Arabidopsis thaliana: one gene and its partners. The protein of the gene in region 2 interacts with the protein of the main gene of each other region in a pairwise test. Each region holds a gene or a part of one and is shown on either strand. Other genes may lie near its edges.

Region 1 (4,998 bases), about 25 Mb from region 2:
TAACAATTGTAAACTATAAAATAAAAATATTTTATAGATAGATACAATTTGCAAACTTTTATGTATACTAACTTTAAAAAATAAATTATTTCTGCGGTGTACCGCGGGTTAAAATCTAGTGAGTTTTTAAAATAGAATCAAGTGTAAATATAGATAAATAATATATTTTAATGATGAGGTTCTTACATTTGAAGAAACTTAGTTCAATTGACTCTTAGTTAAGAAACAATTGGACTAAGTTTCTTCAAATTTAAGAAACCAAACTAATATTTAAACAATATAATATTTTTATTATATATCAAGAATTTTGTTTAGAAACTCCCATTGAAAAAACTCTTAACTTCCATGTTCTTGGTAGTTTCCCTTGGACTCAGAGTCATATGTTTTATTTTTGTGCATTGCCAATTGACAATTATTGCATTAACTGATTAACCGTCTCTTTTTAGCTCTAATTGACACTCTTAACTTTGTTGTTTAATTGTGGCTATGCAATAGCTATTATGAAGAGAACTCCAATACATGTGTTGGAGTCTTGGAGATCTTACTTGCATCTTCAAACATTCATAATACTACAACTTAGACATTGTTTGTTTTCTTTTCCCATGGAAACAAATTTTATCATGTGCTAATAATAAAGGTAAGAATTGATGGAGCCAATCTCGTTTAAATCTATATGTCCCACACCTCCCACATAAAGACCAAACATGTATTAGCTCCATCAGATTGAGACAACAAAGTTCTATGTGTAGATTTAGATGTTTTTTCTTAAAACAGATTTGATTAAGAACATGTGGAATGAATCTGATATTTGCCTATTATGATGATGATTAAAGCAATAAGCATGTTGTAACTTTCCATCTACAAGAAAACAGTTGATCATTTCAATCGACCTTCAAATAGTTTCATCAATCATACATAAGTAGACCCATAAAATAAAATTTTGATGATCCTAATGGTGATTATTGTGAATGAAATTAGTCCAAAATCTTGCTGTATCTAAAAAACACAAAAATACTATTATCATATTCATATGCATTAACTCATCCTATCAAGGAATCGAACCACCAAAGAACCGTTTGTTTTTCTTAAAAAGATAACGACGAAACCAATAAGATAAATGAATATGACAAAAGCAGAGAATCTGGTTGCATCAATTGAATATTTGGTCACGTGGGTACGCGCTCTATGCGCGTGAACATTTAGCAAATTGGCTCTTGAGGAATATGAAAGGTCGGATATGTAAATAATTAATACGCGGCGTGGGCAAATGTGATTCTCACACTTCCTTCCAAAAGATTCTTCTTTCTATTTTTTTTTTTTTTTTTCCTCCCCTAGAATATTCCTTCACCAAATTAGCTCATTTCCAATTCAAATTTTAATATTCGTTCTAAATATCTGTAAAAACGTAGTCGAGTGGTAGGTTACATAAATTGTGAATGATTAACGTTTGGAGTTGGAATTAAGATATCACTAATGATATGATTTATTGTCATTGAAAGTTTTAAACATAATTTTTCCTTATGAGATAGTAGTAGTATTTTAATTTATTTAATGAAACGCATATTTGTTAGGTGAACGTCAATTTTTATGATTTTTGGAAAAGACGCATAATAAAAACCAAATCTTTAAATTTGAAATTCTAAATCATAAAATCTCCATTTAATGAATAGATTTGCCCATATAGAAACACAGAAAATCATTTCTATTAGATGATAGTTAAGTTAAATGAAGGATAAAACAATCGTTGGAAAACAAAACTCTGGAATCTTAATTAGGGGAGAAGAAAAATGGTTGAGTTTTCGTTCTTATCTGAAAAAAAAAAGCTAAAGAGATTGGAATAGTGACGTCAGTTCCAGCCCATACAAAGAGATGCGAACCTATAATCGAATCTGATCCTCCGAATATTCACCCATCATCTTCACGATATTACTATTTTACCCTTCTCTTCCAAAAGAGAAAAAAACATTTTAACTCTCAAAGATTCGTTTTAGGTACGCGACGGCCCGACCTCGATTCTCTTCCACTTCTTTCTTGTTCCAAAAACCTAAACCCTCTCTCTCTCTCTCTCTCTCTCTATCTCTTGAAAAATCAACAAAACATTGGAATCAATTTCTCTATGTTTTGATTCTATTTTAAAGATCCAATATTCTTTCTCCATTGAGATTAAGCTTCTTTCTCGCTGTCGTCTCTCTATAGATCTTGGTTCTTAGTCCCTTTTGAATAATAATGATGGTGGAGATGGATTACGCTAAGAAAATGCAGAAATGTCATGAATACGTTGAAGCACTTGAAGAAGAACAGAAGAAAATCCAAGTCTTTCAACGCGAGCTTCCTTTATGTTTAGAGCTTGTCACTCAAGGTAATAATAATCCAATCAAAATCTCCAATTTTTAAACAAGTCTCTTACAAATCTTGATGGGGTTTTGTTATGTTTTGTTTCTGTATAGCGATCGAAGCTTGTCGGAAGGAGTTATCTGGTACGACGACAACTACATCAGAACAGTGTTCAGAACAGACCACAAGTGTTTGTGGTGGTCCTGTCTTTGAAGAGTTTATTCCTATCAAGAAAATTAGTTCCTTGTGTGAAGAAGTACAAGAAGAAGAAGAAGAAGATGGTGAACATGAATCTTCTCCAGAACTTGTGAATAATAAGAAATCAGATTGGCTTAGATCTGTTCAGCTATGGAATCATTCACCGGATCTAAATCCAAAAGAGGTATTTAAAGTTTTGAGCTTTTTAAAGGAGTTTTAGTTTTCGATTATGAGGAAATAATCATGTGTTAATTGAATTATAGGAGCGTGTAGCTAAGAAAGCGAAAGTGGTGGAGGTGAAACCAAAAAGCGGTGCGTTTCAGCCGTTTCAAAAGCGCGTTTTGGAGACTGATTTGCAACCGGCGGTGAAAGTAGCTAGTTCGATGCCAGCGACGACGACGAGTTCTACGACGGAAACTTGTGGTGGTAAAAGTGATTTGATTAAAGCTGGAGATGAGGAAAGACGGATAGAGCAGCAGCAATCGCAGTCGCATACGCATAGAAAACAAAGGCGGTGCTGGTCGCCGGAATTACACCGTCGATTCCTAAACGCGCTTCAGCAGCTTGGAGGATCTCATGGTAATTACGATTAATTTTAATTACCTGATTATCTTCTATCTGATTGGTTCATTAGTGATTCATAATCGGGTTGATAAAGAACTGTTTTTAAACATTAAAACGTCTCAACATTTACATTATATTAGTAAGTAACAAAGATTATTATCAACATTAAAAAATGATTTTTATTTGACATTTTATTTGCCAATCTTGCAGTTGCTACACCAAAGCAAATCAGGGATCACATGAAGGTTGATGGATTAACAAACGACGAAGTTAAAAGCCATTTACAGGTTAGTGATTAATGATTCTTATGTTATAATCACAAGTTCGTGAAATTGGTAATTAAATGAAATGTTACTCAAGTTCTTAACCATTTTTTGTGTAATATTTCAGAAATATAGACTTCACACAAGAAGGCCAGCAGCAACATCCGTGGCGGCACAAAGTACCGGGAATCAGCAACAACCACAATTTGTGGTGGTTGGAGGCATATGGGTACCATCGTCACAAGATTTTCCACCACCGTCCGATGTAGCCAACAAGGGTGGTGTATATGCTCCGGTTGCGGTGGCGCAATCTCCAAAACGTTCGTTGGAGAGAAGTTGCAACTCGCCGGCGGCATCTTCCTCTACAAATACAAATACTTCTACTCCTGTGTCATAATCTGATAGTCATACTATAATCATCTCCTGATGTTGATTTTGGTGTAGGTTTGAAAATGTTTATGTGAATGTAAGAAATATTTTCGTCCGTTTTTGTTTGTAACCAAGAAATGTTATTTCCTCGGTTGGAAATTTTGAATAAAGTAGACGAATGCTACTATGTAGTATATACACGAGATAAGTGAAGACTCTTTGTTTTTCTAACTTTGGATATTTACTAAAATATCTTCTTGTTTTTGGTGTCTAATTTAGACAGATCTTCGTGATGAATCTGATGGCAAAGGTTATAATTCATCACCTTCGTAAATAGTAAAATACAAAGGTAGATAAGAGAATCTAAGATGAATTGAGAATAACGTGCGTGAATGGTGATGTAGATATTTGGTGTGACAATTAGAAGTGATTTATTTATGGTAACGCTTGCTTAAAACAAAGGTCCATGAATCGACCAACTAACCATTCACAGAATTGAATACCAAATCTATCTTTTTGCATGGCAATTTATTAAAATAAATCTAACGTGGCCGCCTCTGAATCTTGCTTAATAGAATAGTAACCACTAACCATAATCAAATCATTAATTTAGATTTTTTATTTTTTGTCGGCCAATTTAGATTATAGTATCTTTTTTTTTTTCCTTCACATATCTTACGGTAATTGACTCGAACCGGAATTTCTTTAGAAAATTCAAAACCAGTTTAATAATCGGGTTCATGGAGAATAAAAAGGTCATGTTCTGATTTTTATAATAAGTCCTTGTTGACTAAGTCCTTGTTGAATAAGTCTTCCTAGATTATAGGAAAGTGGACGATTAAATTTGTATTATGTTTTGATTTTATATGTTATAGAATTTCAGGTCGATAAAAATTGTGACATTTGCATTGTGTCTAGGGTCTTTCGGGTTTTTTTTTTTTTTTTTTTTAACTTGATTTGTAGGGAGGATAATCTTGGGTCTATACAAGCAAGACGAATTCTTACGTAATTTTGTTTCTTTGTTTTGAATAAAACTGGATAAATCGTGACTAGGGGCTGGAGATCAATAAATCGTGACTTCCCTCCAACTGATACGGATTCTACAACTATTTGAATTTTATAAGGAATTTCAATAACTTGTTCACTTTTTAAATATACAATAGTTTTGTACAACTAGTAAAAAATATTCATATTTCCATTATAATCATTTATCATTCCATTCTGCTTTTTTTTTTGGGTTCTCAATTCTGCCATTCCACCATGTTTCTTA
Region 2 (5,928 bases):
TAGTCAATGTAAACTTATTATTTGGTTGTGGATCGTTTCAATTGCATGCATGCAGCAATGCATGTCATTTGGCTGCATTCCTTAAATGCGAGAAGTATATTCCAACAACTAATGTAAATGAGAAAACTATAAAAAAAAAATTGAAGATGGACACAAATGAACCAGTACTATTGATTTATTTTTCTGTGTGGTAGAATGTTGAGAGTTGTGGCCTTGTATTGTCCACATGAAAGTACACCTGGTCCTCACACGTTCTTATCTTGCAAGTTCATAATTAACACACATATATACCTTTGAAAATAACTCATTAATTTCGACACCATGCATATAAAATACATGATTAGACCTATATATAATTTTCCCAAAAAATGAAAAATATATATAATCAAGTGAAAAAGCATTACCAAAATTACACATCAAATTAAGATGGTCTCTATCGTGTGACAAAGAAAATGTGGTCTCCATATGTATCCTTGAGAATACTGATGATATATGGATTTGGTTGCATTGGTTCAATCTCATTAAAGTTTCGCATACAATCCATTTATGTGTGCGGGCGCATTTTTTTGTAATCATGTAGGCTGGACCGAGAATTTATATTATTCACTGGTTTACAATTTCATGTGAATTCCATAGTGATCAGTAGATATATATATTGATCAGACAAAGTAGATACACATTGATAAAACACGACAAAATGATGTGATATATAAGACAAAGTGACCCAAAATTCGATTGAAAAATTTGGGGTACGTTGATTTGAAAACTCATGAGAGTTTTTTGGGATAGAAACAAAAGGAGAGAAAAGGGTTAAAGAGGAGGATGTAGACAAGGCAAGGAACAAAAGTAGGGTTTAAGATGTTTTCGCCCCTGAATTTTATTTGATGTAACTTGTCCCTTTATCATCTCCATGTTTTTCTTCTTCTCATTAATTTAAATTTTGGCTTTGGAATTTATGGTGATGTTAATTGTACCCTCTCTTCCTTTGGATTTTGATGCCACTCATGTCCCCTCTCATAGATTTTATTAGGGTAGGAATATGCCTTTTTCCCTCTTTATTTTCATATTTATTGAATTTACGTTGGTTAATTATGGTTAGTACGCTTGGTGTTATTTAAACGTCCCGTATTCACAGTTTACGCCTAACTGATTACTTTGAACTAAAACCAGTGTCTAGTAGATCACTAAAGTCGAATTTTGAACGAAAGTTTGAAAATTCGCAAAAGCGCCGTGAAAATACAATTCCAAAACATATCATTTTTGTTTTTGGAAGCGTGATTGATGAAATAAAAACAAAATATGTTTTGGAAGTGCGACAGAATTTGTTTTTTTGTTTAGAAATGCGATAATATAGACAAATTAATAGAAAATGTAATACAAATTTAGGTGCTTTCATAACTACAAAAAAAAAAAAAAACTACCCTATTGTTGAAAACTTTCATACTACAAGAATAACACAAGCAATATAAAAGAAGAAAAATAATTTTCAATAATCAAAAACAGACATTATATTTTAGTAGTCAATTTAATCTGTAAATATCTGTAAAGAAAATTAATCACCAATTTTATTGTTAACTACAAAGTGGTGTTTATAATATTGCAATTTATAGTTTGTTAACTACAAAGTATAAACATTAAAGAGTAATGATGCGTTTTTATGTGTCTAGATACACATTTCGCTGTACGTGTTTATAGGTGAGTTTTTAATCAATAAATATTGAAGATGTACCGTATGCTTTATTTTGTATTGGCATGAGAATAATTATATACAAGAGGGCTGCGCTTTTATTGTGGGATGAATAATTGAATCATGTGGATGTGATATGCATAATTGGAAGGTTCCGGCGAAGAATCTTACGGGGAAAAATAATCAAAATCATGAATATATATTCATTAGTTAATAATTATATTTAGAAGTCAAAAAGCATAATATAGTTATATTAATAATAATGTACATCTCTATTGTAACACTCTCATATGAGATGTCTGCGACCTCGCCACTCAAAAGAATATATATTTATAAACTATACGTTGATATAGTTTTTAAGACCATATGGTATATACATATATTTAGTTAGATACCCCATATCAATTAATCGGTTCATCACCACTTAATTCACTTGGTTGCTTCGAATGTGTTTCATAATTCACTTGTAATTTTAAAATCTTTCCTTCACTTGTGCTTTCGCTTGTAATCTCAAAATGTTATATATCTCTTTTAACGGGAGAAAAACGATTAAAGACGGATTAAAATATATATCCATTTTGTATAGTCAAATGCAATAATATATACATAATCTACAAGATAAATCATAAGAAAGATTCAATAACAGTAATAGAGTAATAACAGTGATTACTGATTAGTCTAAAAGACTAAAACTCGAGGATGATGACTTAATCAAAGGGCTTAGATTCATCCACGTGTCTAAAACCCGTTTAATCAAAGATCTCTTAAATACGACATACACATGCAGCTACCTCCTAGACAGAGATATAATACAGACTCATCTCACTTTGTATTATTTGAGTGTTTTTATAAAACCATTTTTCCATCTTCCTCATCACCTTCCCAAGAAGAAGAACACCAAAGAAGAAGAAAGGTTAATAATGATGGGCAGTGTCGAGCTGAATCTGAGGGAGACTGAGCTGTGTCTTGGTCTTCCCGGTGGAGATACAGTGGCTCCGGTAACCGGAAACAAGAGAGGGTTCTCAGAGACGGTTGATCTGAAGCTAAATCTGAATAATGAGCCTGCAAACAAGGAAGGATCTACGACTCATGACGTCGTGACTTTTGATTCCAAGGAGAAGAGTGCTTGTCCTAAAGATCCAGCCAAACCTCCGGCCAAGTAATTTTACTATTTTGTCCTTTATGATTTATTTTCCACTCTTCTCTACTGCTCTTAATATTAACATTTTTGTAAAGGTGACTGCAAAAAAAAACAGAAATTTCATTAAAGATATATATTTTTCTTCGCCAAAACCATTTTATCATATGTCTACGGTTTTTTTCTCTTCTTAAATCGTCCAATGTCTTAATATATTTAATTATGTTTAACCCATAGTCTCATGCAAGTAAAATTTATGTGACATCACGTCAAAGCTAACTACAGTCTATATCTTGTATAACATAACCGTTTTTCCGTTTTAAAAAAAATATAGGGCACAAGTTGTGGGATGGCCACCGGTGAGATCATACCGGAAGAACGTGATGGTTTCCTGCCAAAAATCAAGCGGTGGCCCGGAGGCGGCGGCGTTCGTGAAGGTATCAATGGACGGAGCACCGTACTTGAGGAAAATCGATTTGAGGATGTATAAAAGCTACGATGAGCTTTCTAATGCTTTGTCCAACATGTTCAGCTCTTTTACCATGGGTACGTTTTATAAGTATATTCCTTATATATATATGTAGATCCTTCCATGCACATTTAGTTACTAATTAATTGTTACTATAGAAAGAAAAATTAATCATCATGATGATAGATCAGTCCCAAATGAATTACCGTTATCGAGTATACAAATATTTCATAATTGAGTAACCCGTTAGTAGTAGTTTAGAAACTGTGAAAAGAAAACTATGTGATAAAATCCAATTGCGAAAAATGTATATTTCATTTGTTGCACCATAAAAGAAAACCACCAAGTTTAAATTCAGGATATCAAGTTCTTATACCTAAGATTATTTTAGGCAAACATGGAGGAGAAGAAGGAATGATAGACTTCATGAATGAGAGGAAATTGATGGATTTGGTGAATAGCTGGGACTATGTTCCCTCTTATGAAGACAAAGACGGTGATTGGATGCTCGTCGGCGACGTTCCTTGGCCGTACGTCTTCTTCTTCTCCCTTATTAATTACCATTTAATTAGAGCTTTATTGTTTCGGTTAAAATTCGAGCTTTATTTTTGTTTATGTCATTTATTTGTTTCTAATAAATAACCATTTGTTTTAATCTTTTTATTTATTAGAATGTTCGTCGATACATGCAAGCGTTTACGTCTCATGAAAGGATCGGATGCCATTGGTCTCGGTATGTATTTTCTACCAATGCATATTATATTCACATTGATTAAATTTTGATTTCAGTTTGTTACCCATTTAAATTAAAATTTACGTGTATATGTATACAATATAGTTAAAATAGCTTACAAAAGAGATTTGCCCCAAAAAGAAAAAAAAAACTTACAAAAGAGCTTAAAAGTTTACTATAATGTACACCTCAACCGCATAACTTGGTCGCCTAAATAATTTAATATGCTATCGTTTAAGATGATGTCTAATCATCAAACGCTTAAACCGTTCATTATTTTTCGCACAATTATATTTCTACCGTAAAGAACAAATTTGTCGAAAGAAAACTTATCGCTTTGATCTTTTAAATCATTGATATAATACATGATATTTGATTCTCTTTTGTCAAATGCAAAAAAAGAAAGAGATTAAATAACAGAGGGAATAAAAAATATACTCTTTTAACAGAATAAATACCGTGGTCAAATGTCTTTGCTTATTAATTGTAAAAATATTTCAGCTCCGAGGGCGATGGAGAAGTGCAAGAGCAGAGCTTGAAGTCAAATTAAAAGGATAAGTGGTATCGATTATATATTTGATTAACACATTGATTGGTGTTAATTGCTCTTTTTTTTCTTACGATGAAATACATTGTTCAGTTTCTTTTGATTGTCTGTGTTTTGATCTGGATTTGGTATGTAGATATAGTTTGTATGCTATTATGTGTAATGAACTTAAGTTAAATATTTGAGACATTTGTAATGGAAAATGTGTAATAATTTGAACATCCTATTCCTATGTATATGTTTGTCTTTATTTATTTATTTTGCCAAAGATGTGTATATTCGTATAAGGAATATGTGATTTTTATTCCACTATGGAAAATTTAATCTCACATTACTTCTCTTTAATTTCAGTCTCTTAATAGTCAGTTATTTTCTAAAGGCAGAACAGTATTCTTTTGGTTCGTCTTGAAAGTGAAACTAAAGATCATAGCGATCGAGTATTTGACCCTAAAGTAAACTTTCCCCAAGTATAATTTCGAAGTCGGTATAATTAGAATTACAATATTACAATATACATATGTTATATCAGATGAATATAATTACAAAAATGGGGAAAATTCACTTTGTTGGTATATTGATTTGTTGGTACTTAAAGTGATAATTGGCTTTGGTTGGAGGAAATAAAATAGAGAAATAGGACCCATAGGGAAGAGAGGGAGCAATGCCATGTGCATATTCATGGGTCTCTTCATTTCATTACCTTTGTTTATCATTTAATTTCCCATTAAATTAATTAGGAATATTAACTTTTATACCAACTAAATTTATTAACAAGGTTATCATAATTATACACAAATATCCTCTCTATAATGAAAAATGAAAAACCACTAGAAATATGGAATTACGTTGTATCCTTTATCACTTTCAGAAATGAGCTACAAGTAATTTATTATTGTCAAGAGATTGCACATGTGTAAAACTTGAAGGTAAAAGACATATATATGCAATAAAATATAGATATATATATATATATATATCGATGACATAATAGATATAGTATAATAACATATAGGGCCCTTTTGGATTAATGGTGTTTACTGGTTATAATGGAGCTATTCTAAGCAGTCCTTATTTAATTTGATGTTTAACGTTAAAAAAAAGTTTAAGAATAAAATATATAGATAAAATAAAGAAAACTGAGAATGTAAATATTGATAAATGGGGAAGCACATGGAGAAGATGTTGAATCCCAAAACGAACAAATCGAAGTTTTAGGAAAGTATCGTTCCAACGTACATGCATGCATATATATAGAAAATATGTGTACTAATGTATGTGTAAACACAAACATTGTACAATTAGTTACGTTGAAATGTTTTAAATTTCAGTATCTTAATATTTGTCTTCATTTCTT
Region 3 (4,915 bases), about 26 Mb from region 2:
GTCCTGGTTGCATAAACAGAAAGAAAAGCAACGAATTATTTGGGCCTACAAAATTCTTTTCCTTGATGTCATATTTCCTCTCTCATTGGAAAAGGTACAGATGATCATATTTTCATTTCTTTCTTGCGATTTTGATGCTTGGAAGATGTCACTATAAGGTATTCGACATGTGTTCTGTAGGTTATATTTGTCGACGCAGATCAAATTATAAGGACAGACATGGGAGAACTGTATGATATGGATATTAAAGGAAGACCTCTCGCGTATACTCCTTTTTGTGACAACAACAGGGAAATGGATGGCTATAAATTTTGGAAACAGGTAAACATTAATCTTTTTGTTTTGCTTGTAGAGGTAGTTTTGGTTTCCATACTCTTACATTCTCAATTGCTTTGAACAGGGTTTCTGGAAAGAACATTTACGTGGTAGGCCATACCATATCAGGTAAAAAAACCTACTTGAACCTCAGTAAGTTGTTGCTTTTCCCATTCTTAATGTGCCTTGTTCTATCTGTAGTGCTCTATACGTTGTTGACTTGGTTAAGTTCCGAGAGACAGCGGCAGGAGATAATCTAAGAGTATTCTATGAGACGCTTAGCAAGGATCCAAACAGTTTGTCCAACCTAGATCAGGCAAGTTGTATAATATGGTTCTCTATACTTAGGGCTGTAACCTTTCTTTGGTGGTCACACTATCGTTTTACTTTATTTGAAAGGCTTTTGCATTTGACTCTTACCATACACCATGCTCTGAATCTTTAGAGTTCCAGGTTCAAACATATTGATGGCATGTCATTATTTTGTTTCAGGATCTTCCTAATTATGCTCAGCATACTGTTCCTATATTTTCACTTCCCCAAGAGTGGTTGTGGTGTGAATCCTGGTGTGGAAACGCCACAAAAGCCAAGGCCAGAACAATCGATCTTTGCAATAATCCCATGACAAAGGAACCAAAGCTTCAGGTAAAATGATGGCTTTCCTCATATCTACAACACTCACAAAGCGTTGTTTGTTATAATGCGGTGTTCTTCTGCAGGGTGCCCGAAGAATCGTAACCGAATGGCCCGATCTTGATCTCGAAGCACGAAAATTCACAGCAAAAATCTTGGGTGAAGATGTGGAACTCAACGAGCCAGTAGCTGCTCCTGCTACAGACAAGCCTAATCCTCTTCCATCAAATGACATCTCTGAAGATACAGAACAAGACTTGGAATCTAAAGCAGAACTGTAAATTCAATGCTCCTGAAGTTTCAAAAGAGGAGAAGATAAATTAGACAATCATGGCTATTTTGCATTTGCTAGATAAGGTTTCTAGTTTTGTAGCTACAGTTTCTTAGACATCTCTCACATAAATTAGACAGAAGATAAAGTCAACAGATTGCAGGAGAATAAGAATATCAGTATAATATGATTTTGAATCAATTACAAACATAGTCACTCATAACGTATTTGTAAACTCGTCCGTCCAAAATCTCAAATCAAACCAAACCGACAAACCAGTAAAAAAACCGAACCGGAAAACTGACGTGTCAGTGTCTGTATAAAAAGCAATACGTGTTCTTTTAGCAAAGGGTCTGACACTCTGATAGAAAAGCTGAAGTAATTCAATAAATTATTTTAGAAGAGGGAAGAAATCTACGGTTTTACAAGGGGACGTTATTTATTAATGGATTTTAATAGAAAGAAATCCAACACTAATACACTGTTATTTAATTAATGATTTTAAATTCAATTTTAAAATTTAGTGTTATTGGAGTTTATATCTTTGTAAATCATGTTTAATAGATTTTAAAATTTTGTGTTATTCAATTAAAAGATTTTAATACCGTCAAAAAAAAAAAAAAAAAAACAAACTAAAAGGATTTTAAATTTTATTTCTAAATTAGAGAAGAATCCAGAGGAATTAATTTTCACCACTTTTCTCTTCTTATATATAAGTCAATCCCCGAAGTAACATTTTTGACACAGTTTTCAATTCTTCAGCAGACAGATCGATCACACTCCATCGATTCCGTATGAAACCCTAGATTTCTGCAACTGAATTCCTAATTCGAAAAAGAATGGAGGGTTCGTCGTCGACGATAGCAAGGAAGACATGGGAACTAGAGAACAGCATTCTAACAGTAGACTCACCTGATTCAACCTCCGACAACATCTTCTACTACGACGATACTTCACAGACTAGGTTCCAGCAAGAGAAACCGTGGGAGAATGATCCTCACTACTTTAAACGAGTCAAGATCTCAGCGCTCGCTCTTCTTAAGATGGTGGTTCACGCTCGCTCTGGTGGTACAATTGAAATAATGGGTCTTATGCAAGGTAAGACCGATGGTGATACTATCATTGTTATGGATGCTTTTGCTTTACCAGTGGAAGGTACTGAGACAAGGGTTAATGCTCAGGATGATGCTTATGAGTACATGGTTGAGTATTCACAGACCAACAAGCTCGTAAGTGAGATTCAAGAAACTTCAAAGTTTTGATTTTTTTCTTTAGAAAGTTTGTATATAAGTCAGAACAGTTTGATTGATTATGGTTATAATAACTTGACCTTTATAAGGCGGGGCGGCTGGAGAATGTTGTTGGATGGTATCACTCTCACCCTGGATATGGATGCTGGCTCTCCGGTATTGATGTTTCTACGCAGAGGCTTAACCAACAGCATCAGGAGCCATTTTTAGCTGTTGTTATTGATCCCACAAGGACTGTTTCAGCTGGTAAGGTTGAGATTGGTGCTTTCAGAACATACTCTAAAGGATATAAGCCTCCAGATGAACCTGTTTCTGAGTATCAAACTATTCCTTTAAATAAGATTGAGGACTTTGGTGTTCACTGCAAACAGGTACATTTTCTTGATTTTTCTCGGTGCAAGGTCCCAACATGATTCTTATGTTTGGCTTTTGGTTTTGGCAGTACTATTCATTAGATGTCACTTATTTCAAGTCATCTCTTGATTCTCACCTTCTGGATCTACTATGGAACAAGTACTGGGTGAACACTCTTTCTTCTTCTCCACTGCTGGGTAATGGAGACTATGTTGCTGGACAAATATCAGACTTAGGTAAACTCTTGGATATGGCCTAAATCATTCACTCTTACTTTTTTTTCTCAAGTCACAGTCAAGTAATGTGTTATATAATCGTTTTCGTAATTTTACCAATGAAGCTGAGAAGCTTGAGCAAGCCGAGAGTCATCTGGTTCAGTCTCGCTTTGGAGGAGTTGTGCCATCATCCCTTCATAAGAAAAAAGAGGTATGTCCTAGTGGTTCATCAAATTTTAATTGCGATTACGGTGGCTAGTTAAGTGCCTCTGTAAACATCTAGCTACTAAGAGGATATATCTTCAAATGTTTTGGTTATTGGGACCTGGAGGTGTTCTGTTTAGTTGAAATGAAAGTGTTGTTGAAGGTTGTACAGATATATAACTTTCGAGAATGTTAATGGGTGTTGCTTGTTAAAGATCTCATTTGACGTGTGTTCTAAATCACTTTCAGGATGAGTCTCAACTAACTAAGATAACTCGGGATAGCGCAAAGATAACTGTGGAACAGGTCCATGGACTAATGTCGCAGGTGAGTAATAATATTGAAACGAAATGGTGACATATCTCCCTTAAGGTTCGTGTATTTCACAGACTCAAAATCCATCATTGTTGTACTTGTAGGTCATAAAAGATGAATTATTCAACTCAATGCGTCAGTCCAACAACAAATCTCCCACTGACTCGTCGGATCCAGACCCTATGATTACATATTGAAGTTGCTCTTCTTTTGGTTTCTAGTTTTGGATTGACCCATCATTTGTTGTCCTTTCATTTATTTTCTGTTGTGTAAAGAATTATAATGCTAATGAGAATAATACAGAAGAAGATTTTGGTTAAAGAAATGTTTTTAAGCCCATTCGATTCGTCGGGGTTAAAGGAATAATCTTAAGCCCTTAAACAAAAATTGTATTTATGGAAATCAGAAACCTAGTGATCTTTTCCAACTCTATCCCCTCTCTCTTTCCTTCTCTGCACTCACGTTGTCCGTGAATAGGTGGTACTAAAACATGGCTAACAATGGCAATCATCTTTCTCTGTCTTTGTTTGTTGATGAAAAGTGTTCCTTATGGGACTGTCGACGACGACGCCCACAAGGAGCTATGTACTGCCAACCTGACCATCTTCAACAAGCTTATCAAGAACGCACTTCACACAACATGGCAAACTTATACACTTGAAGACGTAGTATTGCGGAGAATCTTAGAAAGCCTTAGTTATCCGGAGCTTCGTGGAAGTCCGGGGATACCAAACCTTCAAGAAAACAGTCAGTTATTGTCTATAGCTCCGCACGGATATGTTTCCTACAAATTTGACATGTAGCGAGAAACATAGCATATGGCTGTTTCTCGCGCTGTTCGTGCCCGACCAAGGGGTTTGGAAACTGGTTAAAGAACGGCATCGAAGGAACTATGTACGTGATAAATTTATACCACGTTTTGCTATGAACAATGGTTCAACATGGGAGCTATATAGGTTTACAGTGAAAAGTGACTCTGTAGCCTTTTTCACTATGGAATATCGCAAACCCTTGCTTCTTGGGGTGGAGGATCTCAGCCTTTTTGATGATGATGTTGATGATGATTCGCATTCGAATAAGAGGAAAACTCCACCTTGTTCTGAGAGCAAGAGAACTGACAAAAGATCTTCATATGGACATGTTTCCGAGTATTCCTCTAAATAAGATTATGGACCTTAATTTGATGTTTACCTTTTATTTTCTGTTGTGTGACACAAATTTGTAGGCAAATGGGAATGAATTAAATTGGAATAATACAGAAAAAATTGTGTTAAGGAATCGTCGACATGGTTTGATATTTATTTGAGAATAAAGACACAAAAGATGAAACTAGAAAGCAATAATTTAGTAAGACCAAC

The links.
Region 1: the proteins of AXR3 (region 2) and AT1G68670 interact in binary tests that used the Arabidopsis thaliana proteins (3 or more experiments, as listed by UniProt).
Region 3: the proteins of AXR3 (region 2) and CSN5B interact in binary tests that used the Arabidopsis thaliana proteins (3 or more experiments, as listed by UniProt).

What each region holds. Positions count from the first base shown.
Region 1 is NC_003070.9:25,780,118-25,785,115, forward strand, and holds AT1G68670 (myb-like transcription factor family protein), read left to right. Parts: upstream 1-1,683; 5' UTR 1,684-2,226; coding exon 2,227-2,359; intron 2,360-2,447; coding exon 2,448-2,716; intron 2,717-2,795; coding exon 2,796-3,111; intron 3,112-3,306; coding exon 3,307-3,383; intron 3,384-3,486; coding exon 3,487-3,756; 3' UTR 3,757-4,001; downstream 4,002-4,998. UniProt on the Arabidopsis thaliana protein: Probable transcription factor involved in phosphate homeostasis.
Region 2 is NC_003070.9:1,133,775-1,139,702, forward strand, and holds AXR3 (AUX/IAA transcriptional regulator family protein), read left to right. Parts: upstream 1-2,303; 5' UTR 2,304-2,607; coding exon 2,608-2,846; intron 2,847-3,159; coding exon 3,160-3,371; intron 3,372-3,685; coding exon 3,686-3,824; intron 3,825-3,965; coding exon 3,966-4,027; intron 4,028-4,528; coding exon 4,529-4,566; 3' UTR 4,567-4,889; downstream 4,890-5,928. UniProt on the Arabidopsis thaliana protein: Aux/IAA proteins are short-lived transcriptional factors that function as repressors of early auxin response genes at low auxin concentrations.
Region 3 is NC_003070.9:26,850,502-26,855,416, forward strand, and holds CSN5B (COP9-signalosome 5B), read left to right. Parts: upstream 1-1,904; 5' UTR 1,905-2,058; coding exon 2,059-2,448; intron 2,449-2,558; coding exon 2,559-2,840; intron 2,841-2,911; coding exon 2,912-3,059; intron 3,060-3,163; coding exon 3,164-3,249; intron 3,250-3,491; coding exon 3,492-3,569; intron 3,570-3,661; coding exon 3,662-3,754; 3' UTR 3,755-3,918; downstream 3,919-4,915. Other genes in the region: EBS1 (EMS-MUTAGENIZED BRI1 SUPPRESSOR 1), read left to right, coding at 1-94, 181-321, 401-444, 517-631, 808-960, 1,035-1,229; AT1G71235 (uncharacterized protein), read left to right, coding at 4,058-4,304, 4,522-4,721. UniProt on the Arabidopsis thaliana protein: Probable protease subunit of the COP9 signalosome complex (CSN), a complex involved in various cellular and developmental processes such as photomorphogenesis and auxin and jasmonate responses.